Anolis sagrei: one gene and its partners. The protein of the gene in region 2 interacts with the protein of the main gene of each other region in a pairwise test. Links are inferred from orthologs where the notes say so. Each region holds a gene or a part of one and is shown on either strand. Other genes may lie near its edges.

The links.
Region 1: the proteins of KATNAL1 (region 2) and CEP57L1 interact in binary tests that used the Homo sapiens proteins (3 or more experiments, as listed by UniProt). The two-hybrid records come from large-scale screens. The link is inferred for Anolis sagrei from reciprocal best matches to the Homo sapiens genes KATNAL1 and CEP57L1.
Region 3: the proteins of KATNAL1 (region 2) and KLC4 interact in binary tests that used the Homo sapiens proteins (3 or more experiments, as listed by UniProt). The two-hybrid records come from large-scale screens. The link is inferred for Anolis sagrei from reciprocal best matches to the Homo sapiens genes KATNAL1 and KLC4.

The regions. Positions count from the first base shown.
Region 1 is NC_090021.1:93,991,624-93,996,936, reverse strand, and holds the start of CEP57L1 (centrosomal protein CEP57L1), read left to right. Parts: upstream 1-1,858; 5' UTR 1,859-1,911; intron 1,912-2,023; exon of another isoform or gene 2,024-2,066; intron 2,067-5,052; 5' UTR 5,053-5,078; coding exon 5,079-5,111; intron 5,112-5,313. UniProt on the Homo sapiens protein: Centrosomal protein which may be required for microtubule attachment to centrosomes.
Region 2 is NC_090023.1:32,585,433-32,590,745, forward strand, and holds the start of KATNAL1 (katanin p60 ATPase-containing subunit A-like 1), read right to left. Parts: upstream 3,588-5,313; 5' UTR 3,513-3,587; coding exon 3,494-3,512; intron 1,145-3,493; exon of another isoform or gene 860-1,144; intron 1-859. UniProt on the Homo sapiens protein: Regulates microtubule dynamics in Sertoli cells, a process that is essential for spermiogenesis and male fertility. Severs microtubules in an ATP-dependent manner, promoting rapid reorganization of cellular microtubule arrays.
Region 3 is NC_090021.1:25,295,162-25,300,474, reverse strand, and holds the start of KLC4 (kinesin light chain 4), read right to left. Parts: upstream 3,221-5,313; 5' UTR 3,113-3,220; intron 3,107-3,112; exon of another isoform or gene 2,981-3,106; intron 1-2,980.

The DNA of each region.
Region 1 (5,313 bases), on a different chromosome or scaffold from region 2:
ACAAACAGATAATCTGGAATCCGATCATGGGCTATAGGAGCAGTGTGATATGTGCCTGAGACTATACTGTAATTTACTCAGAGACATGCAGTCACCTCAGTATTTATTTATATGCCATCTTTTCCCCAACAGCAAGGGGACTCAAGGCAACTTGTAAAACAGATACAATTAAAAAACTCATATAAACAAAAATATAAGAAGTTAAAATATACATAATTAAATTATCAACAGAATAAAAGGCAATTTGAAAACATATACATTAAAAAACAAGGAACAACAGTACAGCTCCACACCATTAAAATAGACTTCCTCATAAAAAGTTCCCAAAGGCTTGTAGACATTTTTAAACATGAATTTTAAAAAATGTTAAAACTTCCAAAATATACATTTTAAATCCTTCTTAACCATACTAGTACCTCCAGGAAGGAAAGTCCAGATCTCCCTTGGTGTTCCAGAGTCTAAACTAAGGGAACATCTACACCAGCATGGGCAAACTTGGGTCCTCCAAGTGTTTTGGATTTCAACTCCCACAATTCCTAACAGCTGTTAGGAATTGTGGGAGTTGAAGTCCAAAACACCTGGAGGATCTGTTTGCCCATGCCTGATTTACACAGCAGAATTAATGCAGCTTGGTATGACTTTGACTGACATGGAACAGTGCTATGAGATCCTGGAAGCTGTAGTTTGGCATGGTCTTCAACCCCCTCTGCCAAAGAGGGCTGGTGCTCAACAAAACTACAAATCCCATGATCTCATAGCATTGAGCCATGTCAGTTAAAGTGGTGTCGAACTACACCTTTGGTCCCCTAGGTGTTTTGGACTTCAGCTCCCAGAAATCCCAGCCAGTTTTCCAGCTGTTAGGAATTGTGGGAGCTGAAGGGCCCAAGTTTGCCCATGCCTGATCTACACAGCAGAATTAATACGGTTTAGTATGACTTTGACTGACATGGCCCAGTGCTGTGAGATCCTGGAAGCTGTAGTTTGGTAAGGTCTTCAGCCCTTCTGCCTAAGAGGGCTGGTGGTCAACAAAACTACAGATCCCATTGAGCCATGTCAGTTAAAATGGTGTCAAACTACACCAGTGGTTCCCAACCTTTGGTCCCCCAGGTGTTTTGAACTTCAACTCCCAGAAATCCCAGTCAGTTTGCCAGCTGTTAGGAATTGTGGGAGTTGAAGTCCAAAACACCTGGAAGGCCCAAGTTTGCCCATGCCTGATCTACACAGCAGAATTAATACAGTTTTGTATTACTTTGACTGACATGACCCAGCGCTGTGAGATCCTGGAAGCTGTAGTTTGGCAAGGTCTTCAGCCCCCTCTACCTAAGAGGGCTGGTGCTCAACAAAACTACAGATCCCATGACCCCACAACATTGAGCATGTCAGTTAAAATGGTGTCGAACTACACCAGTGGTTCCTAACCTTTGGTCCCCTAGGTGTTTTGGACTTCAGCTCCCAGAAATCCCAGCCAGTTTGCCAGCTGTTAAGAATTGTGGGAGTTGAAGTCCAAAACACCTGGAGGACCAAAGGCTGGGAACTACTGAACTACACTAATTCAAGAGTGTAGAAAGATGCACCCTTTGCATGCATGTTTGGGTGGTTTGCTGAAAGATACAAGCCGAAATGTGGAAACCAGGTTTGCCTGCTAGTGCAATGAACAGGGAATGTACATTTTATAGAGTAACCTGGCAGCCAATCTATAGATCTCACTCATCTGATGTAGAGGATCTGAAAAGAGAGGGAGGAGAAGAGGAAAGGTTCTTTCGGGCGGAAGTTGGCTGGGCGGCTTCAAGGAGGCGGGTCTATTTCCGGGTCACAGGTGAGGCGGGGAAGGCGGGGCGGGAGCCTGGGAGAGCGGGAGGGGAGGCGGTCTCTTTAAAAACGGCCCAGGAAAAGAAAGGACAACAAGCTGCAGTAAGTCGGGCGCATCCTAAAGGCTCATTTGGGGGCATGGAGGCTGGCTGGGGATTAATAACACATTTCTCTAAGTCTCTCTTCTATCCCTCAGGTGGGAATCCCTCCTTCGCTTGGTCCTGCTCAAAGAAGTATCACTATGGGTCTATTCCAGTGTAAGAAGGGGGCAAAGGGAAGAAACACGTGGCAGCACCTTTAAGACTCAATGTCCTTTTTTATTCCCGGGATCTGATCCCAGATTATCTGGGAGTGTAGACTCATATAATCCAGTTCAAAGCAGATCATCTTAATTAATGTAGTGCAATATAATACTAATAATAATATGATATAATAATTATATATTTATATTACATGTAATATTACTAATAATATTACAGTATAATAGTATAGTACAAATAGTAATACTTAAATCTGATATGTATATATATCTTGTAAGCCGCTCTGAGTCCCCTTCAGAGTGAGAAGGATGGCATATAAATGTCGTAAATAAATAAATATAGGGCAGTGCAGATCCAGCCTCCGATCTTAATCCACTGCTTTGGATATTGTTATCAATTGCTATCAAGTTAGCATGGCGACCCTCAGGAATGAGATGTGGCCAAGGTTGCTGCTGCACTGTAGAATTAATGCAGTTTGGAACCAGATCCAGCTTCAAGGAAACTTTGGTCCTTCTAGGCAGGCCCTGTATACCAGGATGTGATCCCAGGTTTTCTGTTTATCCCAGATTATCTGGCAATGCAGACTCATATAATCCAGTTTAAAGCAGAAAACCAAGGATCAGATCCTGGGATAAAGGATCTGTCTGGAAGGGCCCTTTGGTGCAACCGATCAGTTGTATTTCTCATGTAAACACACTATGCAACTAATTAATTTCCCTCCTCCAGTGCTTAAGTCCCAGTGTAAATGTGCCCCAGTTGCCCAGACTCAATAAAGAAAGCCATGGCTCTACATTTGCAAGACTTGGGTGCCTCTGTGACCCCTTCAACACAGCTGAATAAAATCCCACATTATCTGCTTTGAACTGGAATATATGGCAGTGTGGACTCAGGGCCCTTCCCCACAGCCCTATATCCCAGAATATTAAGACAGAAAACCCCACAATATCCGCTTTGAACTGGGTTATCTGAGTCCACACTCAGATAATGTGGGATTTTCTGCCTTGATATTCTGGAATATAGGGCTGTGGGGAAGGGCCCCATATTTTAGAATGAATGCAGTTTGATCCCACTTTAACTGCCATGGCTCAATGCTATGGGATCCTGGGAGATAAGATGCCGCTTTATAAGGCCTTTAGCCTTCTCTGCCAAAGAGTTCTGGTGCCTCACTAAACTACAGCTCCCAAGATTCCACAGACATGGCAGTTAAAGTGGTCCCTGTAGTTATGGCCCTGGAATGCACTCTTCCTCTTTTTAGATTGCCTTCTACCTTATCAAGCATTATTGTTTTTTCTAGTGAGTCCCATCTTTCCATTATGTGTCCAAAGTAGGATAGTCTCAATTTAGTCTCAGTTGAGCCCCCGGTGGCACAATGGGTTAAAACCCTTGTGCCAGCAGGACTGCTGACCGAAAGGTTGGTGGTTCGAATCTGAGGAGCGGGGGTGAGCTCCCATCCGTTAGCTCCAGCTTCTCATGTGGGGACATGAGAGAAACCTCCCATAGGATGGTAAACATCTGGGGCATCCCCTGGGCAACGTCTTTGCTGACGGCCAATTCTCTCATACCAGAAGCGACTTGCAATGTCTCAAGTCACTCCTGACATGAAAAAAATAGGTATCTTGGCTTCTAGGGAAAAGTCCATTTGTCTATCTTTTTAGCAGTCCACAGTGTTTGTAGAACTCTCCTCTAGAACCACATTTCAAATGAGTTGGTTTCCTTCCTGTCAGTTTTCTTCACTGTCCAGCTTTCTTTCACAATAATTGGAAATGCAATGGCATATATAATCCTAATTTTAGTCTCCAATGATATATCTTTACATCTCAGGATCTTGACTGGTTCTTTCATAGTTGCCCTTCCAATATATAGTCTTCTGATTTGATTGCAGTCTACCTTCTGGTGAACAACAAGGCAAATCTTGAAATCTTTGAGTGTCCTTATCATCCACTTTAAAGTTAAGAGGAATAATAAATGTTCCGGTATAAAGCATATTTGCACAATTGTGCATCCCATACAGTAAACCTAAATAAGAAACCCTGGCATTCATCACTGGGGGTTCCAAGTTAAATTCGGCTGCAGAGGCAAAATGGCAAAGGAAAGGACAAAGATATCATGAACTAATGCTCACATTTATTTGCTCAACACATGACTTTTAAAATTTAAAGGGTTTGCTCTGGCTTGATTTTTTTTTTACTGGGTTGAAGATACATGTTGCATACTCCAGTCCTGTAACAGAGAAATTTGCTACAATGACACGGTGTACTACTTTTTTGCTTCCCTATTGATGTTGTATAAACAGAGGGATCAACGCTTGGTTTGTCTGAGTTTCAGTATGAAGCATATTTGTTTAGATATGTTGGGTCAACATTAATACAAATAGTAAAAGCATAGGTTCTGTGCCTCTGCCTGATGGTGATCCAGAAAAGGTGAAAACCAACATTTTTCTCTAATTAATTTTCGTCCCCTCTTGACTGATTTTTTTTAAATTTCCCATAAATACACACATGGTTCTTGCTGAAATGATGGATTCTGGTTTTATTGTTTCTTAATAAATGCTGATTTTATACAAATGTGTTATCAAAGGCTTTCATGGCCGGAATCACTGGGTTGTTGTGAGGTTTCTGGGCTGTATGGCCATGTTCCAGAAGCATTCACTTCTGATGTTTCATGCACATATATGGCCGGCATCCTCAGAGGTTGTGAGGTCTGTTGGAAACTAGTCAAGGGAGGTTTATATATCTGTTGAAGGTCCAGGTTGGGAGAAAGAACTCTTGTCTGTTGGAGGTAAGTGTGAATGTTGCAATTGATCACCTTGATTAGCATTGCAAAGTCTTGCAGCTTCAAGGCCTGGGTGATTCCTGCCTGGAGGAATCCTTTGTTGGGAGGTGTTTAGTGCCTCAGTTTGATATCTTAAATGGAAGAAAATAAATATTAATCATTGACAAAATATTATTCTTCCAAATCAAGACTGCTCCTTTTATCTTCTCAGGAGAGTGGGGCGCTGGGTCCTCTGTTATGGAGGTGAGTAACACAACTTCAGCAGACCAGGTAACTGTCTATTCTAAAACAGTATCTTAAGAAGTAAAAATGTTTAAAGCTTTTTATAGTTAGGAGAAAAAGGCATTTAGAATTATTGTGCTGCAGAGACTGTTTTTATGGTTAACCTTGCAACTGTATTAACCTGTTTCATTTAAAAATAATCTTTGGGAATCTTAAGGGGTGATTCTTTTGTACTGAAGTGAGGCCACTT
Region 2 (5,313 bases):
CTTCCAACTCTATGATTCTTAACTATTTTATAGAGATTGGTCATTGCTCTCTTCCCAAGAAGTAAATGTCTTCTGACTTCTTGGCTGCAGTCTGCATCTGTCGTAATCTTTGCACCTAGAAATACAAAGTCTGCCACTGCCTCCACGTTTTCTCCCTCTATTTGCCAGTTATCAATCCGTTTGGTTGCCATAATCTTTGTTCCTTTGATGTTTAACTGCAACCCAGCTTTTGCACTTCTTTCACCTTGTTTATAAAGCTCCTCAGCTCCTCCTCGCTTTCAGCCATCAAAGTGGTATCATCTGCATATCTAAGTTTATTAATGTCTCTTCCAGCAATTTTAACTCCTGTCTTGGATTCATCAAGCCCTACATATTGCATGATGTGTTCTGCATACAAGTTTTTGTGTGTGTGTGTGTGTCAGGAGTGACTTGAGAAACTGCAAGTCGCTTCTGGTGTGAGAGAATTGGCCACCTGCAAGGACGTTGCCCAGGGGACGCCCAGATGATTTGATGTTTTAATCATCCTTGTGGGAGGCTTCTCTCATGTCCCCGCATGTGGAGCTGGAGCTGATAGAGGGAGCTCATCCGCTTCTCCCCAGATTTGCATACAAGTTGAATAGGTAGGATGAGAGTATACAGTCCTTCTGTACTCCTTTCCCAATAGTGAACCAGTCTGTTGTTCCGTGGTCTGTTCTTACTGTTGCTACTTGGTCATTATACAGATTCCTCAGAAGATTGACAAGGTGACTTGGTATCCCCTTACCACCAAGTTCTTGCCACAATTTATTATGATCCATTCAGTTAAAAGCTTTAGAATAGCCAATAAAACAGAAATACAGCATTTCGTTTTTCCTATTACCTTCAGCTTTACCAAGTATTATTGTCTTCTCCAGGGTTTTTTGTATATCCAAAATGAAGTAGGTTTGGATTAGTCATTTTGGCCTGTAATAAAGAGTTCCAACTTGATTTGCTCTCAGGCTCATCTATTTGTCTTTTTGACAGGCTTACGGTGAGGGTTAGAACTCTCCTCCAGCACCACATTTCAAATGGGTTGCTTTACTTCATTGTCCTCTTGAGGGTCTTATCTAGTTTCTTCATAGTTGCCCTTCCAGTTATTCTTCTGATGTCTTGACTGCAGTTTCTATGTGGATTGATGACTGAGTCAAGGTTATGAATGCAACGTCATTAATGATTGAGTGTTAGTTGACTATCATAAAAACGTATCAACACAATGAATGAGAACAGCATAAAAGAACATCATAATAAAATCAGGCATTAATACTCAGAAACCTGCCTTGGATCCATGATCATGCAACAAGTATCAGCAAAGCCATGCATAAAGTATTCCAGACTTTAGGAGAGCTGACTTCAGGAAATTTAAGGAAATATTGAGCATGGACAGGAATACTAGAAGAGAAGAGAGCAAATGGTGGATGGGAGGTTTTTAAAAAGTGAAATACTGAAAGCATAGTTGCAAACAATGCCAGCAAGGAGAAAAAATAAGAGAAGTGTAAAGCAACCAGAATGGATGTCCAAAGAACTTTTAACTGAGTTAAGATTTAAGAGACATGCATAAGAAATGGAAAAGGGGAAAATCACCATAGAGGAATTCAAACAAATGACCAACATATGTACGGGAAAGGATTGTAAGGCTAAGTTGTGAAATGAGCTCAGGCTTGCCAGACAGATTAAAAAGAATAAACCCTTCTCAATGGTGGCTCCTCATCTATGGAATTCCCTTCCTAATGATGTTAGACTGACAAAATATCAAAGTCAATAAAACTACACAACGTGTAAAGCCCTTGTAGTGAGTTTCCTTGTTGTTGTTCATTTTTCAGTCGCTTCCGACTCTTCGTGACCTCATGGACCAGCCCACGCCAGAGCTCCATCGACCATCACCACCCCCAGCTCCTTCAAGGTCAAGCCAGTCTCTTCAAGGATACCATCCATCCATCTTGCCTTTGGTTGGCCTCTTTCCTTCCATTTTCCCCAGCATCATTGTCTTCTCCAAGCTTTCCTGTCTTCTCATTATGTGGCCAAAATACTTTGCCTCTACTATCCTTCTCTCCAGTGAGCAGTTAGGCATTATTTTCTGGAATATGGACTGGTTTGATCTTCTCACGGTCCAAGGCACTCACGGAACATTCCTACAACACCACAGTTCAAAAGCATTTATCTTCCTTTGCTCAGCCTTCCTTATCATCCAGCTCTCACATCCGTAGGTTACTACGAGGAATACCATTGCTTTTACTATGCAGATCGTTGTTGCCAGTGTGATCTCTCTACTCTTCACTATTTTATCAAGATTGGTCATTGCTCTCCTCCCAAGAAGTAAGCATCTTCTGATTTCCTGGCTGCAGTCCGCATCTGCAGTAATCTTTGCACCTAGAAATAAAAAGCTTGTCACTGCCTCCACTGAACAAACTACTGAACAGACTACACTCTGGCACCATAAGATGCAGAGCCAACCTTAAGAAATGGGGTGACAAAGTGGAATCCACAACATGCGAGTGTGGAGAAGAGCAAACTACAGACCACCTGCTGCAATGCAACCTGAGCCCTGCTACATGCACAATGGAGGATCTTCTTGCGGCAACACCAGAGGCACACCAAGTGGCCAAATACTGGTCAAAGGACAGTCAATCAACTGCCAAGCTTGCAAACTCTGTGTCTTTTGTATGTTTGTTTGTTTGTTTGTTCTGTCAAAAATGTAGTACAACTGCTCGGCTGCCTGACACGATAAATAAATAAATAAATAAATAAATACTGCCTCCACATTTTCTCCCTGTATTTGCCAGTTATCAATCAGTCTTGTTGTCATAATCCTGGGGGTTTTTTTTATGTTTAACTGCAACTCAGCTTCTGCACTTTCTTCTTGATTAGAAAGCTCCTCCTCGCTTTCGGCCATCAAAGTGGTATCATCTGCATATTTAAGCTTGTTAATGTTTCTCCCAGCAATTTTTACCCCAGCCTTGTATTTGTCGGCCCCAGGTAACAATATTTCAAAGGAAGACCTATATATAGTATGTAAGAAACCCTTCAATCTCCTGTCATCTATTTGGCAGCCTCTGTTTGCATCTAATTCCTGCCTTACTCTATGCCACCTTTTAGTCTATATCAGGCCTGGGCCAATTTTGGCCCTCCAGGTGTTTTGGACTTCAATTCCCACCATTCCTAACAGCCTCAGGCCTTTTCCTTTTCCCCCTCGGCCGCTTAAGCAGCCGAGGGGGAAAAGGAAGGGGCCTGAGGCTGTTAGGAATGGTGGGAATTGAAGTCCAAAACACCTGGAGGGCTCAAGCTGTCCCAGGTCTGGTCTATATCCTCTCTACATACTTGGCACACCTTGGCATATAGCCCCAAATAATCAGCCACTGTCATTGGCAGAACGAATTGTCAATCACAGTGGGGCGGGGCTTCCCCATCACCGTTATTCGGGTGCCTTTCCAAACACCAGCCACCCCTCCCTCTGCCCTTTCCTACAAATAACGGTTACCTGCCAGAGGGCCTCCCATTGGCCAGCCATTCTATTAGGATAAACGGGGGGAGGGCAGGCCTCAAGGTGTAAGAGCCAAAATGAATCTGATTATCTTCCCGCAAAGCTTTCTGGGTTTTGTAGTTTCTCGGAGGCCCGCGGTTCCACAGGCGATCGTACAAAGCAGTTGCCGCTAAGACTACGACTCCCATCCTGCTTTGCGACAAAACGTTAAGGGGGAGATCTTTCTCCCCCATTCCCGGCCCTCTATTTATATATATAAGGACTTACTTTGAATCAGGAGGGACGTCTTTTTTTAAGGATGATTCCTGGTGACGGGAGAAGGTTGTCGTTGGACATCATCCCGACTCGAGCGAATAAAAAAGAAAAAGAGGGAAAAAGTGGAGGGGGGAGAAAGCAATGAATGGAAGAGCGGTGGGCCTATCGGTTGGTGCAGCCTCCCCTTTAGGAGAGCTGGTGGGCGCGGGCGCATGCGCACTCGCGGTAGCCGAGGCGTTGGGTCTTTGGTGGGAGCGAAGGGCAGTGGCGGCGATTGGTTACCATGGAGACAGCGAAGGGAGGGGCGAGAGCGTCTGTGGCTCCGCCCCCTGTAGCTCCACCCACTGCCTGATCCAAACCGTCTCAGTCTGCTTTGGTGGCCTTTGGAGAAGGTTCTCCTCAGGAAGATAACATGGCTGGCTGGGCTCTCCAATAAATCACAGAATCATAGTCATAAATATACAAAATCATAGCATATTGTAAAACAATTAGCTCATAAAGTGGGACCAAAGTGCATTAATTGAATGCTTATAGTATTCTTACTATGGTTTTATATTATGTGTTAATGTTTTTATATGTTTTGTGGTGTTTTTAAGGAGCCCCCGGTGGCGCAGTGGGTTAAAACACTGAGCTGCTGAGCTTGTTGATTGAAAGGTCGCAGCTTCGATTCCGGGGAGCAGCGTGAGCTTCCGCTGTCAGCCCTAGCTTCTGCCAACCTAGCAGTTCGAAAACATGCAAATGTAAGTAGATCAATAGGAACCGCTCTGGCGGGAAGGTAACGGTGCTCCATGCAGTCATTTATTTATTTATTTACTTTACTTTACTTGTATACCGCAGTTTCTCAGCCCAACAGGCGACTCAACACGGTTTACAACAAGGATAAAAAACAATCAACGATATACAATTTAAAACCATAAAAGCATAATATACAATATTGACACAACCCTAGACAACACAATACATCTCATAACTGGAGTCGTGATCCAATCTGTCGTCCAAATTTCCATTCCTGTAATCATCACATTCATTGCACTGTTTAACCGAATGCCTGTTCAAACATCCAAGTTTATATGACCACATGACCTTGGAGGTGTCTGCGGACAACGCTGGCTCTTCGGCTTAGAAATGGAGATGAGCACCACACCCCAGAGTCAGACATGACTAGACTTAATGTCAGGGGACTACCTTTACCTTTATGGTGTTTTTAGGCATTGAATCGTTGCCATTGTAAACTGCCCTGAGTCGCCTAAGGGCTGAGAAGGACGGTATACAAATATAGTAAAATAAATAAATAAATTCTAAAGTCTAGACCAGGCCTGGGCCCAATTTGTAATAACGAAATGTATAGGAATGCAACATATCTCATGGAAATCTTTCTCATACACACACATATAATTTTTAATCTTGTGTCATTTCCTGTTACGCACTGCAGCGGACACACTAATGTGTCGCGACCTACACTATTGTTCTGTCACCGCTGGAGCCGAAATGAGGTGCTTTTAAGAGAGGATGTTAGGCTTGCATCCAGCGGGAAGCCAGGGGCCCAGAAAAGAAGCCTTTAG
Region 3 (5,313 bases), on a different chromosome or scaffold from region 2:
TAAAAGAGTGGCAAAAATCCTGAGCACCAGTCCTTTTATAAGTTGAGTATCTCTTATCCAGAAGTCTGAAATATTCCAAAATCTAAAATTATTTGTGAGGGTGGCTGAGACAGTGACATCACTGCTTTCTGAAAGTTCATTATACACAGGTTTTGTTTCATACAAGCAATTATTAAAAATATTGTGCATAAATGTCTTCAGCCTATGTGTACATGAAACATAAATGAATTTTATGTTTACAGTTGACTCCCATCTCCAAGACATCTCATTTGCATATGCATTTATATATGCAAATGCAGATCCTCCAGAATCTGACAAAAACCCAAAATCCCAAACATTTCTGGTTCCAAGCATTTTGAAGAAGGGACTAGTCAACCTATATTAGCCTGGAGCACTGTGCCTGGAGAGCAAAGTTAATGCCATAGGCCAATATAGGTTGATTATTCTTTCTCCAAAGCCCTTCCTAAGCCACTGAGTCATGGATGAGCAGCTGACCACAGCAATTTGTGGTGAGGAAGAAAACCTGACACAAGATGTGCCTTCAGAGCTAAATTTTAACCCAGGGCCCTTCCACACAGCTATATAGCCCAGAATATCAAGGCAGAAAATCCCGCAATATCTGCTTTGAACTGGGTTATCTGACACTTCCATATATTCCAGTTCAAAGCAGAAAATGTGGGATTTTATTCAGCTGTGTGGACGGGGCCTCGGTCTTCTTAGCCCTGGCACTTATCTTCAGCAACATCATCTTCTTTATTATGTTGATTTGTACCTCATTTTTTTCTCCCAGTTGTGGAACCCAAACCAGCTCACAGCCTTAAAAAGCCTGTACAATTTAAATGCATCCCCAATATATATATACACTTGAAAATAAAAAAAAAATTATAACCATTAAAACAAAGAAAAATGTTAAATGTGCTGTGGTCTTTAGCTGTAAATATATTTTGATGGATTTTAACTAATTTTTTTAGTGCTGCTTGTGTTTTAGTGTTTGCATATTTTAAATAGTATAGTAAAAGCAAAGATTTCTCCTTGACATTAAGTCTAGTGATGTCCGACTCTGGGGGGTGGTGCTCATCTCCATTTCTAAGCCAACGAGCTGGTGTTATCCGTAGATACCTCCAAGGTCATATGGCTAGCAGGACTGCATGGAGTGCTGTCCTGTAGGAGTGATACCTATTGATTTACTCACATCTGCATGTTTAAGAACTGCTAGGTTGACAGAAGCTAGGACTAACAGCGGGAGCTCAGCTTTTGGTCAGAAAGTTCTGTAGCTCAGTGGTTTAACCTGCTGTACCACCCGAGGCTCCTTGAATGGTATACTAATGCTTTTATGTCAAGCTGCTTTGAGTTCTCTTTGGGGAGATAAAGTGGGGTACAAATAAAAAACAATATTTAAAAGCAATTCCTGTCAGCGCACTCAGAACAACACATGGCTCATGCCATATGGAAATAACACGGCATCAAAAGACTTCCCATAAGAGATTAAATACAACATCAACATCATCATCTCTGCAGTTGCCTCGCCTCTGGATCTCTCCCAAAGGAAATTAGAATGGCCCCTTCATTGTCCTCTTTCAGAAATTTATTATTTATTTCGAGCACTTCTATCCCGCTCTTCTCACCCCCGAAGGGAGACTCAGGGCGGCTTACAAAAAGGCACAATTTGATGCCAGCAATACACATAATAAAATAAAATAAAATACAGAAAATACAGAAAGCTATTAAAAACTCACCAATGCTCTCAAGCATATGAAGAGCCTAATGTCTAGCATGTTAAATAAGGACTGCTTTACCGGATATGGCTTTTATTTTTGGATGTGGCTTTTGACATTGGACTTTAACTTTATTGTTTCAATGTTGTGTGTGCGCACACTCAGCGTCACACATGACTCATCCTGAATGGAAATAACATGGCATTAAAAAAATGTCTACAGTATAAGAGCATTAAATAGAGCATCATTACCATTATTATTATTATTATTTTCTTTTCTATCATGCTATATTCCCACTTCGAAACTGCATTATATGGCAGTGCAGATGGAGCCCCAAAGTGGCTCAGAGCTTTAAATACATACACAATTCTAAAAACCCCTACAAAATATCAATATTAAATAGAATTAAATGTTACAACCGTTAAAACAAGCACAACAATGTTAAAATTCATGTCACTACCAAGGGATGGCTGACCACAGATGGAAATGATGCAATATTTAAAAGGCACTGCAGACTACTTCAACCAGAGAAGTCAGCCATAGCAGAGCACCTGATGAACCAGCCTGGACACAGCATATTATTTGAGAACACAGAAATGCTGGACCACACCAACAACCACCATGTCAGACTACACAGAGAAGCCATTGAAATCCACAAGCATGTGGACAATTTCAACAGAAAGGAGGAGACCATGAAAATGAACAACCAGTATTAAAAAACTCTAAAATTACAACAGCAAAACAACAGAGAGGAAACAAACAAGGACATCTAATCACCTCTCAACAAAAGATTGCCCCAGGCCCTGCCTGGCCATCAAATGCTACTCAAGGTGGTCAGTTGAAACATTCACAGCTAGCTCCAACAGACAAGAGTTCTTTGCCCCACCCCAGTCATTCCACAGATATATAAACCCTTTGTCCTATTTCCAACAGACCTCACTACCTCTGAGGATGCTTGCCATAGATGCAGGCGAAACGTCAGGAGAAATGCCTCTAGAACATGGCCCTATAGCCCGAAAAAACCCACAAGAACCTTTAAAAGGCCTCCCATAAGAGCATTGATTATAGCGTCAAATATCACTCACAGCAGCACTGATTCTCAGCCATCACACAGCAGAATGGCAACACTACCCCTGAGCATACGAAGAGTGCCACTGAGATAGCAGGGCCTGGGAATGGGCTATCCAAAAGCGTCCCTGCTTTCCCCTCAGCCTGCCTCCCTTTAATAACGGTCCCCCCATCCCTCTACCTGTGAAGAGGCCTACCTCCTTGCCAGGACCACCCTGAGAGTAGCTAGGCCCCGTTGTCAAGGCAACCAGGCCCTTCCTGGCCTGAGAGAAGGAGACGGAGGCCGGCCGCCGTGCCTCTGAGGGGAGAAAAGGAGAGCAAACACGTACCCGCCGCTTCGCCTTGATTCCTTCAGGAAGAACCAGCTCGCGGGAATGGATGAGCGACTGCGCATGCGCCCTCAGCACCCACTCTCTCCTCCCGGCCCTTCCCCGGCGAAGAGAAAAACAAACGTCATCGAAGCCCCGCCCACATCGCGTCGCAGCCGCTTTAAACCCAACATGGCGGCCGCGCCCTGATTGGACGAATCCCAGAATGCATCTAGGTCAGCCTGGCCAAAAGGGGGCGGGGCGCTTTGGTGAGGTGTCAAGTTCCCTTAAGGACGCTAAGGATGCATCTACTCTCTCTCTCTCTCTATAGATATGCAATATATATATTATAATATATAGAAATAATAAGATTGTAATGTAACAATACATAATATTAACAATGTAATATATATCATATATAATACAACTTATGATCTATATAAATAAAAATGTAATGTTCTTTTGTGGGATTAACAGAACTCAAAAACAACTGGATGAATTGACACCAAATTTGGACAGCGTACACCTAACCACCCAATGTATGTCCTTCACTAAAAAAAAAAATGATTTTGTCCTTTGGGAGTTGTAGTTGCCCGGATTTATAGTTCACCTACAATCAAAGAGCATTCTGAATTCCACTAATGATGGAATTGAACCAAAGGTGACACACAGGACTCCTATGACCAACAGAAAACACTAGAAGGGTTTGGTGGGCATTGACTTTGAGTTTGGGAGTTGTAGTTCACCTACATCCAGAGGGCACTGTGGACTCAAACAATGATGGATCTGGACCAAACTTGGCACAAATATTCCATATGCCCAAACACAGATGGAGTTTGGGGAAAATAGACCTTGACATTTGGGAGTTGTAGTTGCTGGGATACATAGTTCACCTACAATCAAAGAGCATTCTGAACCCCACCAATGACAGAATTGGGGCAAATTTCCCACACAGAACCCTCATGACCAACAGAAAATACTTCAGGCCATCCAGTCCAACTCTCTTCACCAGGGCAAGAAAACGTAAACAAAGCCCTCCTGACAAAGAGCCATCCAGCCATAGATAGATATATATGATTCACACACGCACAGATATAATATCATAGGTTTGAAAGGAACCCTAAAGAAGGACAATGATATGTTGCATATTCCAGAATAGGCAGACCAGATACTCTCCACATCAACACTGACAAAGAAACAGCAAGAAATGTTGTTTACCCACATGCATAAAGAAATTACATAGATTAGAAACCATTACTTTATTTTCCAGATCACCAGACTGGGCCACAGCAACGCGTGGCAGGGGATGGCTAGTATATAATATATTATACTAGCCATCCCCTGCCACGCGTTACTGTGACCCAGTCTGTCTATATGTGTTTTGTGTGCGTATTTGTGTATATGTGCATGTATATATTTGTGTATATATGTGTGTTTGCATATATATGTGTGTGTGTGTGGTTTTGTGCATGCATTGTAATGTATTTTTTTATTTTTTGGTTTTTTAAGTCTCTTGTATTACATGATAATATAATGTAATACACTATAATACTAATAATAATACGATATAATAATAATATTGTAGTAAAGTAATACTAATATATTATGATATACCGTTTTATTATTGTATATTTGTATATTTTAAGTTGTAGGCTGTTAGGATTTGTGGGAGTTGAAGTCAAAAACAAATGGAGGGCTGAAGTTTGCCCATGCCTGTAGTACACTGTAGAATGAATGCATTTTCACACTATGGCTTAAAGTTATGGGATCCTGGGGAGCTGCAGTTTGGTGAAGCACCAGCATTCTTGGACTGCAAATCTCAAAATTCCATAGCATTGAGCCATGACAGTTCAAGTGGTGTCAAACTTCATTAATTCCACAGTGTAGGTGCACCATTTGGTAGAAAAGGCTAGAGATGTTCTAAAACTACAAATCCCAGGGTTCTGTAGCATTGTGACATGGCTCTTGGAGCGGTGTCAAGCTGCATTAACTTTATGTTCTCAAAAACACAGGACTCCTTTAGTCTAAACCAGTGTTTCCCAAGCTTTGGGTTTTTGGGACTTCAACTCCCAGAATGCCTCATCATATGCTAAGGGAGCGGAGGCTTATGGGAGTTGAAGTCCAAGAGACGCGGAAGCCTATTTCAACCACTGTAGGCAGACGTACCGGCGTTTGGTTTTTATGCTCCGCCCAGAAATGGGTCGCGCATGCTCAGTAGGCTT